Linked DNA regions of Schizosaccharomyces pombe. Changing the gene in region 1 together with any one later gene gives a genetic interaction. Each region holds a gene or a part of one and is shown on either strand. Other genes may lie near its edges.

What was found.
Region 2: mutations in utp4 (region 1) and lsc2 together harm fitness more than expected from each alone (negative genetic interaction), as found in Schizosaccharomyces pombe (one large-scale study listed by BioGRID).

Annotation. Positions count from the first base shown.
Region 1 is NC_003423.3:3,702,691-3,708,067, reverse strand, and holds utp4 (U3 snoRNP protein Utp4), read left to right. Parts: upstream 1-1,782; 5' UTR 1,783-2,193; coding exon 2,194-4,326; 3' UTR 4,327-4,612; downstream 4,613-5,377. Other genes in the region: sac11 (inositol polyphosphate phosphatase), read right to left, coding at 1-1,336. UniProt on the Schizosaccharomyces pombe protein: Involved in nucleolar processing of pre-18S ribosomal RNA. Required for optimal pre-ribosomal RNA transcription by RNA polymerase I together with a subset of U3 proteins required for transcription (t-UTPs).
Region 2 is NC_003421.2:2,157,565-2,162,067, forward strand, and holds lsc2 (succinate-CoA ligase beta subunit Lsc2), read left to right. Parts: upstream 1-1,864; 5' UTR 1,865-2,034; coding exon 2,035-3,336; 3' UTR 3,337-3,731; downstream 3,732-4,503. Other genes in the region: transcription factor TFIIF complex alpha subunit Tfg1, read right to left, coding at 3,767-3,951, 4,001-4,503.

The DNA.
Region 1 (5,377 bases):
TCAAAGCTCCTGTACCAGAATAAGAAAGACTAATGTAATCTGCATTATCAGACCAAATGTTGCAAAAAATGTTATCAAGAGGAATGACGGAACGAAGGGGATGGGTAGCACCTATAATTCCGCATTTACGAAGTTGATTCGTAAGCACCCAGCGACCTATACAGCTTTGGACCACATTGGTTCTATCAAGACAATCCATGCAGTTGGAGCGTACAACGCCATTCTGACGAGATAAAACACGGTACTTTTGAGTGTCTAATGTAGTGTAGCCTTGCTCTTCTAACTCGGGTTGTATTTCATTTAAAAGGAGTGAAACCCGGTCCCACCTCATATGGCTACATTCTTTATGAAAGTCAAAATAATGATAATGGATATGGGGATTATCCAAACGACGTATAACATTTTCATATAACTGTTTAATAGGAAGCTCATGTCCTTTACAGTTGACCAAATTAACTACAACCTGGTCACCGTATATGGATATTTGCTCGTCGAAATGCTTTTTTGCAGCGGCTGCAGCCATTGAAGCAGAATTTGCAACCATCAATGGTTTATAGCGAAGATTATTAACCTCTGCCCAAAAAGCAGGAACACTACCGCGGGTCTGAACATGTGAATAAGTGACCTCTGACTTTTCGTCTGAAACGATAGTAATCTGCTCAGTTTCATTGAAGTTGGCGGGGTTTCCATTCTCGTCTAAACCTCTGGTAAAATATCTAGTACCGGCGCGTTGTTTAGAGCGTCGAGATATTAATGCTAACGTGATTGTTCGTCCCTTAACAATAGTGGAAGCAGAAGTGATGAAGCCGTAAATCATTGGCGTAATGAAAAGTGATACTTCAGAATGGGCACCGATAAGATCAATGAAATCTTTACTAGCAAACTCGTTCCAAAAAAATCGTTTATCACTTCGAAGAATAGGTGAGGCCTTTCCCTCATCCGTACAAGAACGTTGTAGGGAGTTAGTAAGGTCCCATGTGTACGAGAAGTAAAAAGGTCCTGTTTTCAAATGATTTTGTAACAAATTGTATAAATCCAATTCATCTTGATCGTCAGCTAGTAGGTTACGATAGGGAATAACTTCAAATTTATGAACACGATATATTTTATGTCCCAAAATTTGGGCTGCACTAGATTTTTCTGTAGCTAAAATAAGATATTTATCTTTTTTCAGCTTGATTGAACCAAACAATGTGACACTATTTTCTTTGCTGCGGGCAACTGGTTTCAACTCGTCCGGCTCAAAACTAACTGCACCACTTTCTCGGTCAATTGTTAAACAACAATCTTCTCGACGAAGCTTAAATTGCTTCTCGTTTGCTTCAAACTGAACCATGAAGAAATTTTCTAAAGTTTTTGTAGGATAGATACCAAGATCTGTGAAGTTGATGGTTGGTAGACGGCAGACAACGAACCTGCTTACTGCTGTACTGTAACATACGGTTTTCTATGCTAAGTCATGTGGTATTATCGTAGATAGAATAAATGACATTTTCACTATGATTTATCAATTACTAAATTTGCTAGTAAGTATCCATCCTCAATAAAATATTATACTACAATGATCATATTGAAGGTCGCTGAATTATTCCTAGGGTATCTGGTGTTTGTTTAAATATTGAGAATAAATATCTCATTGACATCTTAAAATGTAAAATAATTAACATGAATACTTTCAAAACTTAATTGCCGTACACATAACTGCTAACGCACTTTCACCTAAATATGGTAGATGCTCTTGGTCATGTTGTGCTAGCCTTGTAAATACAAATTTCTTCCACTACCATTTACCAACGGAGTTCCAAAGGACACTCTGAAGAGTGCTTTAGAAGAATAATACATATTTGTAATATTAATAGTAGATACTTTGATTATTCTTCACGTTGAAATCACTATACTACTGTGATCTTCGTTTTGTGGTTGAATCCTGAGGATTCACTCGTTCATCAAAATTTTCATTTTTGAAAAAAAGAGCGAAAACATAGTTGATTTATTCCATTGAAACCTTTTAAATTTTTTCTTTTATATTTTTTTCAAAAAAAGGATTACAATTATCTAGCTAATAGCCGACTTTGGCGATATTTTGGGTTTGATTTGGGAAATTGACTTTGGTGCAAAAAAATAATTTTTTCCATACATACTTCTGATTAGTTTCCTGTTCGTTCTTTCTTTTATTTAAATTTAATTAGCAACATGGATATTCATCGTTGTCGCTTTATCGACTATACCCCTTCAGCTATTACTGCAATGGCATTTTCCCATAAAAGCGGTCAGAATGATTCTATGCCTAACAATTTACTACTCGCTGTTGGACGTGCTAGCGGAAACATTGAAATATGGAACCCTCGAAACGATTGGTGCTTAAAAACTGTGTTATACGGTGGTGTAGATCGCAGTATTGAAGGGATTGTTTGGAGTACCGGTGAAGAGGAGCTACGATTATTCAGTATAGGATTTTCAACTACTATTACTGAATGGAATTTACATACTGGAAAACCATTGGTAAACCAAGACTCTAATGCAGGAGCTATTTGGTCAATCGCTATATGCGATGAAACTAAAACTCTAGCTGTTGGATGTGATGATGGAAGTTGCGTTCTATTTGACATTAGTGGTGGCCCAGGTGTCATCGAATTTAAACGAGTTTTGATGCGCCAAACGTCTCGTATCCTTTCGCTCGACTTTCAAACAAAAGATCATCTTGTTGGTGGTTGCGCTGACGGTGTTATCAAAGTTTGGGATCTTAGCACTCCAAATTCCGCTATAATTTCTAGAATGCAAGTAGATCGTGCTCGAAAAGGAGAAGCTGCTTTAATTTGGGCCGTGAAAAGTTTACGGGATGGCACTATCGTAAGTGCCGATTCATCAGGTGCTGTTAAATTTTGGAATGGAAAATTCTTTACATTAAGCCAATCGTTCAAACTACATTTGGCTGATGCTTTGTGTTTGGGTGTTTCTGCTAACGGAGATATGGTATTTTCTTCAGGGATTGACAGGAAAACTATTCAGTACTCACGCGAAGGAGGTAAAAGAGAATGGGTCAGCAACAGTTTTAGAAGGTTCCATTCTCATGATGTTCGATGTATGGCCGTTTTTGAATGTAAAAGTTTGGATGTTCTTATTAGCGGTGGTATGGATATGATGCTTGCGGTAATTCCTGTTCGACAATTTAATCGCAAGAATCACAGGATGATATCTGCCGTTCCTCAACGCCCTCGCATGGCGGTCGCACCGAAAGCAAGGCTTTTTATGTTATGGAATGATCATGAAGTACTTCTCTGGAGAATTGGGTCTCCTGGCTATAGGTTTTTATTAAAAATTGTGTTGGCTGACGAAGAAAATATTTCACATGCAGCAATTTCTCCTGATGGGGAATTAATTGCAATTTCTTCCGTTTTGAGGACGAAGCTTTATCAATTACAGTATAGCGATGAAAATGTGAAAGTTGAAACAGTTGAGGACTCCTTCCTTTCAAATATTGGTGCTAGCCTGCTTAGTTTTACTGTAGATAAGAACAAGCTTATCCTTGTTAGTAACGATTCCGAGATATTTCTCATTGAATTAAGTCGACTGGATTCTCGTCAGCTAGAAGTTTTCGAGTTATCACAACCCACTAGCAAGAAAATTGCTCCTCGTCAGCGAAGCAATGTAAGCAGCATGTGTGATGGTATTTGCAGTATAGCGGTATCTTCGGATGGAGATTATTTTGCTGTTGCGGACACAGTTGGAAATATTTTCTGCTACTCCTTGTCAAATTTAACATATTCAGAGTTACCACGAGTTAACACTTATGTTCGTGCAATGGCTTTTCGTCCAGATGTACGAGGCCGTTTAGCTGTTGCTACGGCGGGAAATCAAGTTTATGAGTTTGATGTTCAATCCCGTAAATTATCTGAATGGTCAAAAAACAATTCTACAAATATGCCCAAAGAATTTTCGCAACTTCTAGATAAGGCATTCGGAGCATTTTTCGACTCTAAACATCCGAGTCGATTCTGGATTTGGTCAGCCAACTGGGTTTCATTTTTCGATCTTAATCTTCAATTACCAGCGCCTCGCGCTGCCGGAAAACGTAAAATTGAAATGAATGCAACAGTTGACGGGAATCTGAATGACAAAAAATTGGCGAATGCTAATTCGAACGGCATTTCAAATTATGGAACAGGGGATTCTAGGTGTTTCTGGATTACTCACAAATATCGACCAATGCTACTTGTAGGCTCTGTAGGAAACTCTGAATTGCTGGTAGTCGAACGACCAATCGCCGATATGTTGATGAGTAAATCAATGCCAGCAAGCTTTTATGAGCACAAATTTGGCTCGTAAATATGTATTATGTATGAAGATGGAGGAGTTTCTTCGTACTAAAAAAAACGAAGAGGTTTTAATATGTCATTTTACGTAAAAAAAATGTCTGGAATAGGGTGGTATTATTATGATTTTGTACAAAAAGGTCTTTTATTATAGGAGTTTATTTTATTTTTATTTTTTCCGATAAAAAGCATAGATTAGTTGCTAGTTAGTTTATCAATAAAACATTTCAAGGTGACACACCCATCCACAATATGATTATGGCAATGTAGCTGTGAATTTCCAAAGTCTGAGTTGTTTATTCCCATTATCGATTGGAGCATTATGCCTGTAATATGGTTTCACTTGATTCTAGGCAGATAGGCGTACAATTTTACGAACCCAAATTTTTTGATTAATAGACTTAACACGGCGAACTAAAATTTAACCGAACGCTATTTTTGTTACACCACATAATTAGAAAATTACTCGCATGAGGATAATTAAAAATACTCTGGTAAAATTAAAATTATTGTAGAAGACAGCTTGTATTTAAAGAGTAGCAATTACCATCTACAACTTATAAAGAAAACATATTCAAAGTAACAGAATCTTACAAAGGATATATATGCAAATGAAACGAAGAAAGCTCATACATGAACCCGTCTACGTTTCTAAACTTGATTACATTTGATATATTCAAAATAAAATAAAGAAGTGAAATAAGTGATTGACGTAAAAAATTATTTTCTTGCCGATGAGATTATACATTCGTTTGTTTATTGAAATTTGTTCACAACTTAGATAAATCTGTTTAGTAGTACCAGTTTTATGTACCCCCATTTAGTTACTACGATCCCACTTAAAATGTAATACAAACTGTCAGTACTAACCAGAAGAAGGACAATAGTACTAACGACTTAGACCCCCCACTTTGGTACAAAAACACCACCTGAATCAACAGCATGTAAAGTAGAAGTCATAGATTAGAAGCATGAGAACATTTCGTAGTGAAAATAAAACATTGCGTTGAGAAGCAATCTCGTTCAACTACCAAACATTTTTTTCCATTGAATAGAATAATGTT
Region 2 (4,503 bases), on another chromosome or scaffold:
ACGGTTTTGCATCGTGCTATGAAATAACGTTATTAAGTATTACATTATACTTGTTTGCGAATTTTATCGAGTTGTGCTATTTGAAACTATGAGCGCAATCGATTTGCAGCGCGGCCTTACCGAGGGAATCTTACAAAGTGACTTTTGGACGAAAGTTGTGATTTTGCTATTTTGGTCAGATGAAGTAGATTTTTAATTGATTTTGCTAGAAAAAAAAAACCATTGGCTTCACATTTTGAACAACGCTCAGCCTTGAATGATGGCGACTGCAATCATAATAGAGAAGTAAATCAACAAATCTATTCCTTCAAAGGGTACTAAAGCAAAAATGTGAATATTTTTAAATCAGGTATAGGCTTTCACTGCATATTCGCTTTTTTTTTTTTTGTTTCTCTTTTGTATTGCGACAACTTTAGTGAATCGCTTGAAGTAATATTCTGATACACTTATGGGTTTGCTTCTTTAAAATACGATTCTTTTTGCTTTTTGAAATATTTTAATATCACAATCTATTAAATTTTTTAAAATTTTGATCATTTATACGATTATGAACTTTCATGAATCGCACCAACCTTCGTATTCCCGTGTTAGAGATTCAGCGTTCATCAAGAAATTTTCAACTTTCTCTTCAAAACAGAATGGTTAGTATGCCTTTTTATAAAATTCTACACATCCTAGTCATTTACATGTTATTGTTTTAGTACATGCTTATGCAAACGAAAAGAATTGCTTAACCGACTTTTGTTTACCTTATTGCACCTAGCCGATAGCTTAATAATCTAACGAAGCTTAAAAATATTCGACATTAATAATTTCTTTGGTAAAAATTTTATTTGCATGTGTGCGAATGCGAAATTTCAGGATTATATACTAATACCAACATGCTGGAAATTCTTTAAACGCTATCGAAAAACTAACTTAATATAAAATTTTATATCCAAATAGGTCACTTAAAATCTTGCCAAATCGGAGCTTTCTGTCTTACAATAGTTTAAGATATTTTAATTCCATTCATTGAATTCGAAAATCTATTAACATTAGAAAAGAATCGCTTACATGCCATTCTTTTATATTAACAAATCCTTTACAAAAGCCAGTGTAAATAGATGATGATTCATTGAAACTGCTGAATACTTAACATTGCACACGACGCTATTACGCAACGCGTAAAACAAGATAATGTGTAAGCTACGAAGTTTGGTATCTGATTTAAGGATACGTAGAGCTACGGTGAGTTTTCCTTGTGATCTATTATATTACAATACACAGGTTGTATAAGTAGCAACTGAGTATAGGTATTGTATTAACTGGGTTATAATGTTACCTATCACTAATATAGCTCATAACTGAACTGAGGAACGAGATTCAGCAGTAGCTCTATTTATAGTATTCAGATAATATTGATCTTAATAGATTATCATTAAGATCAATCTCCATATCGTATCATACATGGTACGATATATAATTAGAACATGTGACATATAGTGATACACAACGTAGTGTATCATAGCGTAGTGTAGTATTGCTGACATAATGTATGATTTGTGTCGCTATCATAATTTGTTGGTAGATTACTCTCATTGTGTGCATATAGCAATTCATCAAATGCAAGTAGCTTTATTTGTGTTTGATAAAAAAAATGCCATTTGTAATTTCACGATTATGATGCTCATCTTTCATGCTGAATGTATTCATCGTGGATAGCGACTCTAGTACTCTTTGCTGCATATCGTTACTTAAAATACTGTATGTTAACAATATTTCTATCAACGAATAACAAATTTGCGTTATGCGATGCAATTTACTATGTTTGCTGTCCAGTCATGGCAGATATATCATATCGTTTACACGTACAATATCACTCACACCCAAGTATTGGTCTTTCTACAGCCTACTCTTTGTTGTAGTTTAGGAGGAGACTCTCTCTATATATATTTTTTAAAAGAACGTGTATCTGTATGCTACGCTTCTCATATATTTATCAAAGAATTGTTTAAGTTCATCGCTAGATTCTCTCAATCCAACTTTCCTACCATGTTAACCAGAAGTGTGCTGAGAAAAGCACCTCGCGCTTTTTCTCCCTTTTTACAAAAAAGAAATCTAGCTTTACATGAATATATTTCTCATGATATTCTCAGAAAGTTTGGTGTGGACGTTCCTCGTGGTGCTCCTGCTCGGAGCGGTGAAGAGGCAGAAAAGGTTGCTCGTGATCTTAAAGTCACAGATTTGGTAGTTAAAGCTCAAGTTCTAGCAGGCGGTCGTGGAAAGGGCCAATTTGACAGTGGCCTGCGTGGAGGAGTACGGCCTGTTTATGATGCTACAGAAGCGAGAATGTTTGCTGAACAAATGATCGGTCATAAGTTAATTACCAGACAAACTGGTCCTGCTGGAAAGATTTGCAATGTTGTCTATGTTTGCGAGAGGAAGTTTATTCGTAAAGAGTATTACTTCGCTATTTTAATGGATCGTGAGAACCAATGCCCCATGATAGTCGCCTCCGACCAAGGAGGTGTTGACATTGAGACTGTAGCAGCTGAAAATCCTAGCGCTATCATCAAACGATCTCTTCCCAACAGTCCAAATCTTGACCCTCATATCGCAGAAGAACTTGTTGACAAACTCGGCTTTTCCTCTTCTAGCAAGCCAAAGGCCGTTGACGCAATCGTCAAACTTTACAAAGTATTCAATGATTGTGATGCTACACAAGTAGAGATTAATCCCCTTGCTGAAACTACTGATCACAAGGTGTTGTGCATGGATGCTAAGCTGAACTTTGACGATAATGCCGAATTTCGTCATTCCAACATTTTCGTTTTGCGGGACATTTCTCAAGAAGATCCTGATGAGGCTAGGGCTGCCAAGGTTGGGTTGAACTTTATCAAATTGGACGGTAACATTGGTTGTTTGGTCAATGGTGCTGGTCTCGCAATGGCCACTATGGATATCATCAAACTTCATGGTGGTGAACCTGCTAATTTCCTTGATGTCGGTGGTAATGCTAATGCTGAAGCAATTCGTGAGGCATTCTCTCTCATCACTAATGATCCCAAAACTACTGCTATCTTTGTGAACATTTTTGGAGGTATTGTTCGATGCGACGTTATTGCCAAAGGTCTTATCTCGGTAGTATCAGCGTTGAATCTGAACATACCTATTATTTGCAGACTTCAAGGAACCAACCAAGGTGCTGCCAAAGAGGTAATCAACAACTCAGGTCTCCGTATTTTCTCATTTGATGATCTTGATGAAGCAGCTAAGAAGGCTTGTCGTTTCAGTCGCGTTGTCGAAATGGCACGTGAAGCCGATGTGAATGTTAGCTTCGAGCTACCTTTGTAGGCTGCTAATTTTAACGGCTTTAATGTATAATTGTTTACAACCCCCTTTTCTTATTATCATTACGACATACGGCATCATGGAATGATTTTATATAATGACTTGTGTATATAGAATTCTTAGCACAGCTGTTTACCATGTCTTAAAGAAATGGTTTGTTATTTTTCTTCTTTATATATTTTATACACATTTACAGTTATATAGTAGCATAGTTGAACATCGCGATCGTAAACTCGTGTATTTGATACTATACCGATCGACGAGTGCACTTCTTAACAATCCGACGTTTTCTATTTTAGGGGAAATGTTAAATTGTAATAGTTCTACTATGCTCTTAAATTAATGCAATTTTGAATTTTGTTTCCAAAAATAAAACAAATGTTTTCTTTAATGTTCATTAATATATAAACGTTATTACATAGATAATTCATAACTAGTTTTTTAAAACGAGTAGCTTGTTCTCAAATCGAGCAACCTTTCGAATGATCTTCTGTATTCCCAACCGATTTCTGTTGTCGGCTCTAATTTTGCGTTGGAACAGGTGAACTAGATCCTTAATAGAAATGGGACCAGCTCTTAAAGCCTTCATTACCTCTGCCTCCGTAATCAGATTAGAATCTAAAAGCACGTTAATAAATTTTCTGGTAAATGTAAAACTTTAGCATACCATCAATTGGAACATTTGTAGTATCTCCCACAACCTCCACTTGATCTCCTACACTCGTTTCTGTAGACCCCATGCTAGGGACCATACGGGGAAAGTCATTGGCAAACCGTGATAACTTTTCACTTGATAAGCGGAGAATTATATATCCAGGTTTGTTAATAAGTTGTTCTTGAGGCCTTATTTGAATAGAAGTATTAGGTGATTGTAGTTGCGATGAAGCTTTGACAGGAGATACGCTGCTTGGCGTTCGTTCTAGTGGTCTTGGTGTATTAGTTTTGGAAGCGTTCGCAGAAAATCTAGACTTTAGTTTTTCTTCACGCTTTTGCAATTCTTCTTCTTCTTGCAAAACTTCTTCTTCACTAGACGCATCATGGGAGGAAGCATAAGGGTCCTCATCTTCCTCATCACTCTCATAAGCTAAATTCTTTTCAAGCAATTTTAAGTATCTTTGCAGCTTTTTTCCTTCACGCGACATTTGTCTATCATTCTCCTCTTCAAGGTCG